2 linked regions of the Arabidopsis thaliana genome follow. The protein of the gene in region 2 interacts with the protein of the main gene of each other region in a pairwise test. Each region holds a gene or a part of one and is shown on either strand. Other genes may lie near its edges.

Region 1 (4,721 bases), on a different chromosome or scaffold from region 2:
TTTTTGTTTTTCTCTCTCTTACTAATGTTTCAGTTACATTTTTACTCTGCTAGTTACTAAGAGATGAGAGTGAATGTGATGCCACAAGGCTTCATTGGCTGGCCTGCTCTGTACAAATGAGGCATGGGTGAGTCAATTTGCGACTTCACAGTGGTCTCAACCTTTTTAAGAACACAAACCTGACCTCTTGGTTTCACCATCATGTAGATCTTCCAAAAACAGTCCTAAATTCACCGGAGTGGCCATTCTCTTTCAGAAGAGTCATCAACAAGGTTCTCAGCGAGAGACCCGCATCACCACCTCCCCACAAAGAGTTTTAAAAGGTGAAAACACACTTTTAGGTCATTTTTCATGCATGTGTGTATCTCTATACACCGGCTCAAAAAACTAGCGATAAAACAAATGTTGGTGGCTTTTGAGTGTGTTCAAAATGATAAAAAAAAAAGTCTTTCGCATTGTGGCTTTACATGTGTGCGTTAGGTGATGGGGGTTGTATTATAGACACAAGATTAGTTACTTCTTTTTATCTTTCTTTTTCCAGTTTGTAGATTTATTACTTCTTGTGCTGGTTCTGTTTGAAATTTACAGGCTTCTTCTTACTTGTCACGCTTTTGTCGTTTGGTCTTGGATCTCATAATAGGACCAAATAAATTCGAATATGTGATTAAGGATTCACCTTTTTTCGAAAGAAGCAAGTGTTAACCACGTTAAGTCGTGAACTACTCCAAGTTTTGGCTACAAAATGGCTATAACAATTCTATAAGGGTCAAACCAAATCGAAACAAACAAACATCAGGGTCACATATACAAACAGAATCGAAGAAGCTACTAATTGAGGCTCATCTCTGCCAGAGTCTATGTAATTCCGACTTATCAGAATCACAAACTGGCCAATTAGAAAAGAAAAGAAAAAAAAAGAAGTGAACAATCATCAGATGGAATTGACTCATCAATTCTTCCCACACAGAATGTTTCTGCACAATAGAGAAGCCAATCTATAATCATTACACAAACAAACAAAACTGTATGAAGAAGCTAAAGGTTGCATAACCAAATTCTAGTATTACATAATTTCTTAGTTATATATTAAAAAGAGTGAAGATTATTGAACTTACGAGAGACATCCGCTGCGAGGCTTCTGCTTCTTCTTCTTCTCCTTTTGTTTCACTGCTGGTTTAATTACTACTTTAATAGCAGCATCAAATACGGCTTTCACATTCTGCAAAAGCCATGAACCAAAGAAAAGCATATAGTTTGCAAGTAAAGAGTCACCTAACACTAATGACTCCTAAGTTTCCAAACACACATGAACAAGTGTACCTGTTGAGTTTTTGAGCTACATTCAATGTAATAAGTCGCTCCGATATGCTTGCGGAGTTCCTCTCCCTGTAACACATGAATGATTAAATCATATAAAACCTAGAGAAGAGAGAGTCTAGAGAATGTCACAACAATCTTTTCGGTTTCTACAGGTTGAAAAAGCACACCTGTGATGTAGTTACCGGGGACAGTCCAGGATGATCAGACAAGTAATGTCTATCTTCACGAAGATCTAGATAACGGAACATTGTAAGAAACATTACATATATGTGATTCTCAAGCATTACACAAGGAAATATGTTGGCTCCACTCTTATAGCTATCTTACCCATTTTGGTACCAACAAGCACAATGGGGACTCCTGGTGCAAAGTGTTGGAGTTCAGGGATCCACTGAACAAAATAAACGCTTCAAAAACATCAGAAATTCACATTTCATTCTTTGTTTTCCCAGTAAGAAATACAATGAATCCAATTTCCACAAACCTTTTTAAACACATTCTCATAGCTAGCTCGGCTGATCAATGAGAAAGCCAACACAAAAACATCTGCTCCTCTGTAACTTAAAGGCCTTAGTCTGTTATAGTCTTCTTGCCCTGCAAACATGAAAGGGTACTCATAATCATAAAACTCTTAACAGTCACTAATCTTCAACACTCCCTATAAAGTTCTCTATCTAAGAATCCCAAATCAAAAGCAAACTTGCTAGATGTTAGAAAGATTAGAACCACATAACATTAGTGAACTTGGTTATTCTGAGATATTCAAGAGAGGGATACAGAAATGTTACTTACCGGCAGTGTCCCAAAGGCCTAAGTTCACAGTGATGCCTTCAACCACAACATTAACACTAAAGTTGTCAAAAACTGTTGGTATGTAGTCCTGATACAATCCATCAAGCAAATCTTTAACTTCACGAGAACAACAAATGCGCAATAGAGTAAGAGGAAACACTGGTGAATCAAGAAAGCCACTAACTTTACAATGTAAGATTTTTCAGAATCTCCAAAAAAGGATTATTTTTGCACAATCCCTAAAAAAGGAGCTAACTTTGAAATACCATGCTAAAATTCTCGGTGAAAGAGTTGAAATTTGACAGACCCAGAAGTATATTCAACTAAAAGTGACGAAATTGGAGATGCCCGAAAGAACAATTTGATGAAAAATCAGCGAAACTGTGATTTACTTGATCAAATTTTAAACTTACAGTAGGGAATTTGTTGCTAGTGTAGCAGATGAGCATACAAGTTTTTCCAACGGCACCATCTCCAACAGTCACACATTTGATGAATTTTGAAGCACTCGAAGCCATTCTAACTCACCAAAAGCAAACAACTTTCAACGAAGAAACGCCCAAAAACCAGAGAGATTGTGAGAGAGATAATAGAGAGATAAATGAAGTGATTAACATGAGGAAGTGTGGTAATAAACTATATAAACCCCATATGATTAAAAAAACTAAACTCTCTTTTTTTTCACTTTTCTTTCAATATTTTCAAAGTTTCAATTTTGTATTTTTGTCTCTTTCGTTTTTTGGTTTGAAGACTGAAGAGAGGGAAAGAAGAGGGGCTCACATGATATATCCATCTAATCCACATGACTTTTCTAAATCGTTTCATATTTATCGCTTTTACAAATGTATTAGATTTTAACCCGTGGTATACCGCGAGACGATTAATTTTTTAAAGGTAATATATATTAAAACTTGCAAATTTTATTTTTATAAAATATTTATATTTTACGGTTTATAATTGTTATTAAGTAACGCTATGCCACGAATCTATAAGACAATTGTTAAAAAACTGAAGTTTTAACCCTTATTAAAACAGCATATTAATAATATTTTATAATTTTATAAATATTGATTCAAATACATCCACCATATAACCGAATTCCAAAATAAAACTCGTTCTGTAATTTCTTTACCCGTCCCGTGAGTTTTTTTTTAAGTCGTAATTTTTAAAATTTAAGAATTATTTATTATATATAAAAGTTTTGCAAATTGTATCATTCTCTAATACATTTATATTTTATAGTTTAATTTTATATATAGTAACATTATACATATCACATAACATTTTTGGTTTTATATAATATTTTCTAAATTAGGATAATTTGATATGTTTAATATTAGTGGTCTTAAAAAATAATAAATTAAAGATTTTACCCGTATTGAAACGGTGGATTAATTATATTTTACTTTTTTATTAATGTTGATTCAAAAACCCGTCCTTCTAAATCCGTCTTGCCAAAAAGCCATTTATTTTATTCATATTAATTTTATTTATGATATGACTCTGAATTCTAAACATTTTAGCTAATAACATAGGAGTGCACCATATTTATTTAATAGGGGAATGTACCATATGACCCGAATGCACTTTTATCCAAATCCACCAAAAAAATCTTGCAAAAATACTATAGAGATAAGAAACGATAGTCGGTTTTAATAGGTATAAGATTAGCAAATATATTAGTTAGCTTAAATTAGTTAAAGAATACAAATTAAAAAGGTATATTACACTTTATTCGAATATAATATCAAAACTTATATAACACAGAGATTTGATAAATTTTTAATTGTTGAATACTTTTTTTTTGTACAAATTTTTATGTGATTAAGATTTATTGATTTCGTATATAAAATATTAAATTGTTTTACGAACTTATTTGTTTATAATTTGGTAACAGAAAGATATTTGAATATTCGGTATATTTTGCTTTAGTTTAGAAAATCTTTGATGACCCGTCTTTAGATTCAACAAGCCCTATAATTAAGAAATGAATATTGTCGTTAAATGATTTTGGTAACCTTAATGATGTCATTAAAAGATTTTGTTTTTGATTAAATTTTTCTAATGGTATTGTCATGTAATTAATTACAAAAATTAAGGTTACATTTAAAATGTATTTCCCAAATAATATAGTAGGATTAAAAGGATACTAAAAGCTAATCACATGCTTAAGAAGCATTGATTATAGTACGTTATTTCTTTTTCTTTATCGGTTGATCCTTCTTATTTTGTTTAGCATTAAAAACTGTTATATTTTGCCATCATTTTTTTTGTAAGATTCTGGCATTACTCATTACCAATTAATTGTATAGATTATTTCAATAAAACAAATTTTACCTGGTTCTAGCTAGGAGAAATGAACATAACTTGGTTAAACACATATGTAGTTATAGAAGAGAGAAAGATATATATATATATAGGAATTAGGATTAACTCTGAATTGGGGACTTTTAAGTTTTGGAAAATAGCAACCAAACTTTTCCTTCTTTTTTTCTGTAACATCTGCTATCAAACTTATTCATCAATCTTAGTAAAGTATAATTTTGTTATTTCAAAACAAAAGTATCCAAGCTAAATTGGGTTTTCATATCTGATTTGTGGGTTTGATA
Region 2 (5,336 bases):
GAGATATTGGAGAGACAAAGAGTGTCCTACAAAACAAATATGGTAAGTGGGTCTTTAACTTGTCCGATCGTAACAACTAAAGCTCTCTATCCTAACTACTAAAGTCATCTCTTTTCTTTCTTCTCTGTTTTCTAATCTGTTTTGTGGGGCAAAGACAGCAAAAACTCACATATCACAAAACTTGATCATTTCTTGTGCTATGGTCTTGTTTTGAAAAGACCAGTCTCAAACATGTGTTTCTTTCTCCATTAGAGAGCTTAAACGTGAAATTTGACCAAGAGTTAAATTCTTTTGACCTAATTAAATCACTAGAAATTCAGATCTATCAGTGTTTTTCGCCATCAGATCACCACAACTAAAGGTCAATTGTTTTAAGGTTTCGTTAGACAGCTAATGATGAGCATGACCTTGCAACTAACACTCTTGTAACTTGATATTATTAATATTACTTTTAATCGAGTAGATCATGGAAGTTCTTGACAAATGACAATTAACGAAATTTGATTACCAATCTAGAGCCTCCACGTTAAGAAAAGATTCCAATTTCACATATACGTTTGTACGGACGAAACCAAGAAGGTAAAGGAAAGATATTTTTGGTTGAACCAAAATCAATTAAAATACCTTAAAAAGGTTTGTTACTTTGGTGGTTAACCAAATGTAGAAAGTGTGAAACAATTTTTTTTTTTCTCGAAATGAAAGCATATTGGATGAGAGTCAAATACCCAAAGCATCTGATAACCTAACTTATCAAACAAACAGAGAAGCTGATTCTGCTAAAATAGCAAAAAGTTAGATGTGCACTTACCTTTGATGCTTCTAGAGTTTACCAGGTTTAACTTCGTTGCAAAATGTCGTATAAGTTATGGCTCTTATTCTAATACATGGTACAATTGTCGCGGTTTCTCACTTTTATTCTCTGGAGAATGTTTGATCATTGCTTTCCTCTACAAAGCCATTTTCTTGTTTGGTATATATACTACCTTAATCAAGCATTCCTATCACCAGAGCGCTTTATTTGAAGCGCGGCTCTAACCACGTTTCCTCTTGTGATGATACCAACCTTTTTTCAAAAGGAAATATAAAAATAGATAAGCGATGCGAAACATGGTGTATTTAAAAGTTCAATGCGAGATGTGTAAATGTAAAATCTCTCTTCTCTTACCAATTTGCCATCAGAATCTACCACAGGGAGCCGGCGATATTTTGTCTCAAGCAATATTCTAGTGGAAAATAGAATAATAAGCTTTAAGTTAGAGAAGAATTTAGATAGAGATGAGAAAAGAAATGACGGCACTGAAAAAAAGGAAAGACAGTAACTTAGCAGCATCTTCCAGGTTGGTTTTTTCCTCAACAACTAGTGGAGCTGGTGTCATTAAATCTCCAACAAGCTTCCCATTGGTTTTGCTGAGTAGCTTTTGCACAGCATTGAAAGTCTGCAAATGTTTTTATTGGTCAACATGATATGATACAAGAACAACAAAAGTTACCAAAAAAGAGAACTATAGAACCAATTCATTTTGAGATGGTTTACACTATCAGATTTGAATCCACTTTACAGAATCATGTCTACTCAAACTAGGGAACTGAATGTAACATTAACATAACTCTACCATATGCATATTTCATATGAGGTACTTCTTTAGTGCATACACTCATAACAATCAGAAGATCCTATAACAGGTTCACAACAATTAGCTGAATTATTGTGCATGGTAATTGCGTAAATCAAAACAAGTTCCTTGTAACTTTCAATACACACTATCTACTGCTGATAATGTGAACCAGGCGAATGAGCACAATGGGAAAGAATTTGAATTGAGTGTTTTGAAAAGCATTCAGGTCAAAATGTTAATAGGAAAAGGAAGGGCCACATACTTTCCAGGTGCTGTCAACCTCAGGGAACATGGAATTTTCTGTTCTTCCACTACCTATTAGCAACACAAAAAAACCAGCAATAAGATTCAAGGGGTAAGGGAAAAAGCTTTTTGATCATTTCACGGTGAGCGTGCTATCTCGCAAAGAATGAGACAGAAGGTCATCATAACATAGATATTTCTGGCTTTATGCCACCATGTGATCAAGTAGCTTTCTTCTTTCTCCACTTCAAAGAGAAATCCCCATGTTTATAAAATCTCTTGAAAGCAAAGGAAACCAAATACATTAATTAAGTGGTGTAGCTGGCCCACTTACCAGATATGGAGTCCAAAGCCAACAAGTCATAATCTGAAACAAGCCCAACCTGCAGCAACAAAGAATCCCTCATAAGCATCCAACCTCCATCTGTAGATTAGATTCAGCTCCCTTTCAAAACTTAAGACCTGAATAACAAAAGTTGATACTAACCAATTTCCAGTCTTCGTCAATTACAGGAAATCCAGTGATTCTATTCTCCACAAGGAGTTCCAGAGCTGTAGAGAAGGCACAAAAGAGGCCATAAGTATGAAAACAAGGCAGTATCTTATGCTCCAAAGAATCTGATGAACTTTAAAGGATAACAAAGAGCTACCTTCATCCACAGTAGTCGTAGGTTTCACCACGTGCAAGTCCTCTTTCTTTGTCATGAACTCACCAACAGTGTACACTCCACTTCTTGGCTACAGTAATAGTCATATACAAAACTCAAACTAATCCTCTACTTGTACAATATTGATTAACCTTCCAACCAGTGGCTGCCTAAATTCTCAAAATCTCGATTCAAAATTGGTCACTATCTCATTACTTAAGCGAGTAAGCGACTTTGCTTCCTCAAATTTCCACTAGGCTAAGATCGAATCCCGTATCTAAAATGTGCAATCTCGAAGAATCCGGTCTAAGCTAGTAACTAGTATACCATTCAATCGTTACATAGAATCGTTACAAGAAGCTAATCTACGAAAATTCTCAGAATCTAAGACACCCAATGATCAGATATTCGCATGCATAACAAAATTCCCAAAACGGAAAGAGGAATTTGGAACTGGAAATTGAGTGAAGGAGCTTACCGAAGAGGAATTCGTCATCAACGTGGAACCGGCGGCGGAAGAAGCTGAGGGAATCCGGGATTTGGAAGGGAAGCTTCGAGAGAAGGTGAATTTGTGACATGGCTGAACGGAGAGAAACCTCGGCAGAAGAAGATACGGCGAGGAAGGAGAGGATGATGCGCGTAGGGGAGTGAAGGAGAGTGGAACAGAGTAAAGGACGGCGTCCATTGGCCGTCGGAGAGAGATCGCCGGAAGTAAAAGAGTGATGATACAGGAGATATGCGTCACCGCTTGTTCGTATTGGGAAAAGCGAAAGTGTGACTGTGACTTTAATGGCTAAACCTCAAAACGATGTAGTTTTGGAATTACAATACAATTTATGCGTTAAAAAAAAATCGAACACGTGGCCTTTTAACGAAATCTGCAAATTGAGATTAGAAAAATAAGACCGTTGTAAACGCTCCTTAATTGTGCGATTCAATTTCCTTTTTTGTTAAGGTCCAAATATGAAAAAAGGAAAACAACCTGATGTTTCCTTTTTTTCTTTGCGTGAGCCTTTCCTTATAAATATTCATCTGTCTTGTGTTGGGAAATCATAATTTTTCTTTAAGAGACAAAAAAACAAAATTCTTCTTTTCTCTGCTACTGTTTTACAAAGACGATCGTCGATTTCGAAACCGTGAAATTGATGATCCATATACGTCGCCGATCTTTACCAACGCCATGTCGAGAGAGGTCTCTCTAATATTTCACAATCTCTGATCAATCATGGAGGATTAATCCGACAAGGTTACTGGTTAGAGATCATATCCATACCAACGCCACTTGGAGTGGTCTCTCGTGTTTGATCAATCGATGTTGATTTCTAGCCAACCATGGATGCATCTTATGCGGACCTGTCTTTTCTTTCTGAAAAGCGCAAAGAAACTCTCATCAACAACCGACGAGTAGGTTTGGAGTTTCAATGACTCAGAATCAGACCGTTAAGGACTCGCCCTAGGAGAGAAGATGAAGATGACTCAGATCTCTCATCTACAATTTGCAATCTTGGCCCAATATGATATGGGCTTCGCAAAACAGCGTATGGGCTTTTTAGCAAACAACAATCCCTGATGACAAACGTCTCCCTATTTCACGAGGTATGTTCCTTTCTTAATTTCTTTTTTTTAAAAATATTTTTTTTGGTTTCTTTATTAATTAACGTTATAGATAACAATTGATTTTACTAAAAATAATAATTTTGTTTTAAATTTTCAGTTTCAAAATAAATAAAAGCTGTTTGGTAATTAATATTGTAAAATAAAAAATATTTTCAAATTTAAATGTTAAATTTAAATACGTGAAAATGGTTAGACTTAGCATCCCGTCCTTTTGGTCCGTAAGTATTGTGGTGTCATAAGTTCATCATATTTTCACGTATTTAAATTTAATTTTAAACTTTTTCAAAGTTTTAAGTAAATCGCTATTATATTTTTTATCTAAAAGTTTTTTATCATACAAAATACTTTTATTAACGATATGTTTTCAAACTTAAATGTAAATACATAAAAATTACATAGACTTAGCATTTTGTCCTTTTGATTCGTGCATTCAATATTCAAGAACCTTTCATTGTACTCAAAGGGTTCTCTTATAATGCCTTTGATGATAGTTTGTTGTTTTTTAATTGCTATGTTGCTTTTTGGGGTATGGTAAATGGTAAAATTTTGATGATATTTTGTTACCATTTACCAAAGTTTTTATTTTATTCATTTTTACCTATCCGTTATGATATCACATATGGAAAGAAAAATGTATTGTAAGAGGACAATTTAGGCCCTGAATGGAGGTTGATTTTCGATTCAGTTTTTGGATTTAGATTTTAGATTTTAGTTTTAGATTTTTGTAATTATATTTTTGTTTAAAAAATTTCAAAAAAATGATTTTTGGTTTTGAAAAAAATAACGTTGATTGAGTATAAACTAGATTTTCAAAATTTTAAGAGAACAAAAAAAACTAAAATGAGGAATGAAAAATTACAACAAAATAGTTTTTCTAAACTATAGAGAAACCAAAATTTTAAAATCTTGATTGGTATGAAAATAAGTTTTTGAAAAACAAAACCCAAAAACTCTTACAAAATGTACAAAACATTCAAGGTCTTAATCTATTATAATACCATCGTTGGGTGTCTCAGTGTCTATCATTCCGACTAAACTTCATTCCATCTTTTACTTTGGTGATAATAGATTCCCATGACTAACGTTCGGGGTTTCGTGTGTTATCTTATTTCCGATATCAACAGTTTTGACTGCAAACTTTTTAAAAAATCTATAGATCAACTAAAAATTAGACTATATAGTCTTTGGTGCTTTCATACTATAATAATATGTA

What was found.
Region 1: the proteins of LEJ2 (region 2) and ROP10 interact in a two-hybrid assay, tested with the Arabidopsis thaliana proteins (one large-scale study listed by BioGRID).

What each region holds. Positions count from the first base shown.
Region 1 is NC_003074.8:17,729,470-17,734,190, reverse strand, and holds ROP10 (RHO-related protein from plants 10), read right to left. Parts: upstream 2,855-4,721; 5' UTR 2,631-2,854; coding exon 2,526-2,630; intron 2,201-2,525; coding exon 2,113-2,200; intron 1,915-2,112; coding exon 1,805-1,914; intron 1,712-1,804; coding exon 1,648-1,711; intron 1,553-1,647; coding exon 1,488-1,552; intron 1,387-1,487; coding exon 1,321-1,386; coding exon of another isoform or gene 1,279-1,320; exon of another isoform or gene 1,220-1,278; coding exon 1,116-1,219; intron 975-1,115; coding exon 950-974; 3' UTR 678-949; downstream 1-677. UniProt on the Arabidopsis thaliana protein: Acts as a negative regulator of abscisic acid (ABA) responses.
Region 2 is NC_003075.7:17,390,028-17,395,363, forward strand, and holds LEJ2 (Cystathionine beta-synthase (CBS) family protein), read right to left. Parts: upstream 3,453-5,336; 5' UTR 3,192-3,452; coding exon 2,985-3,191; intron 2,598-2,984; coding exon 2,510-2,597; intron 2,412-2,509; coding exon 2,347-2,411; intron 2,243-2,346; coding exon 2,194-2,242; intron 1,932-2,193; coding exon 1,879-1,931; intron 1,437-1,878; coding exon 1,321-1,436; intron 1,224-1,320; coding exon 1,166-1,223; intron 1,064-1,165; coding exon 989-1,063; 3' UTR 599-988; downstream 1-598.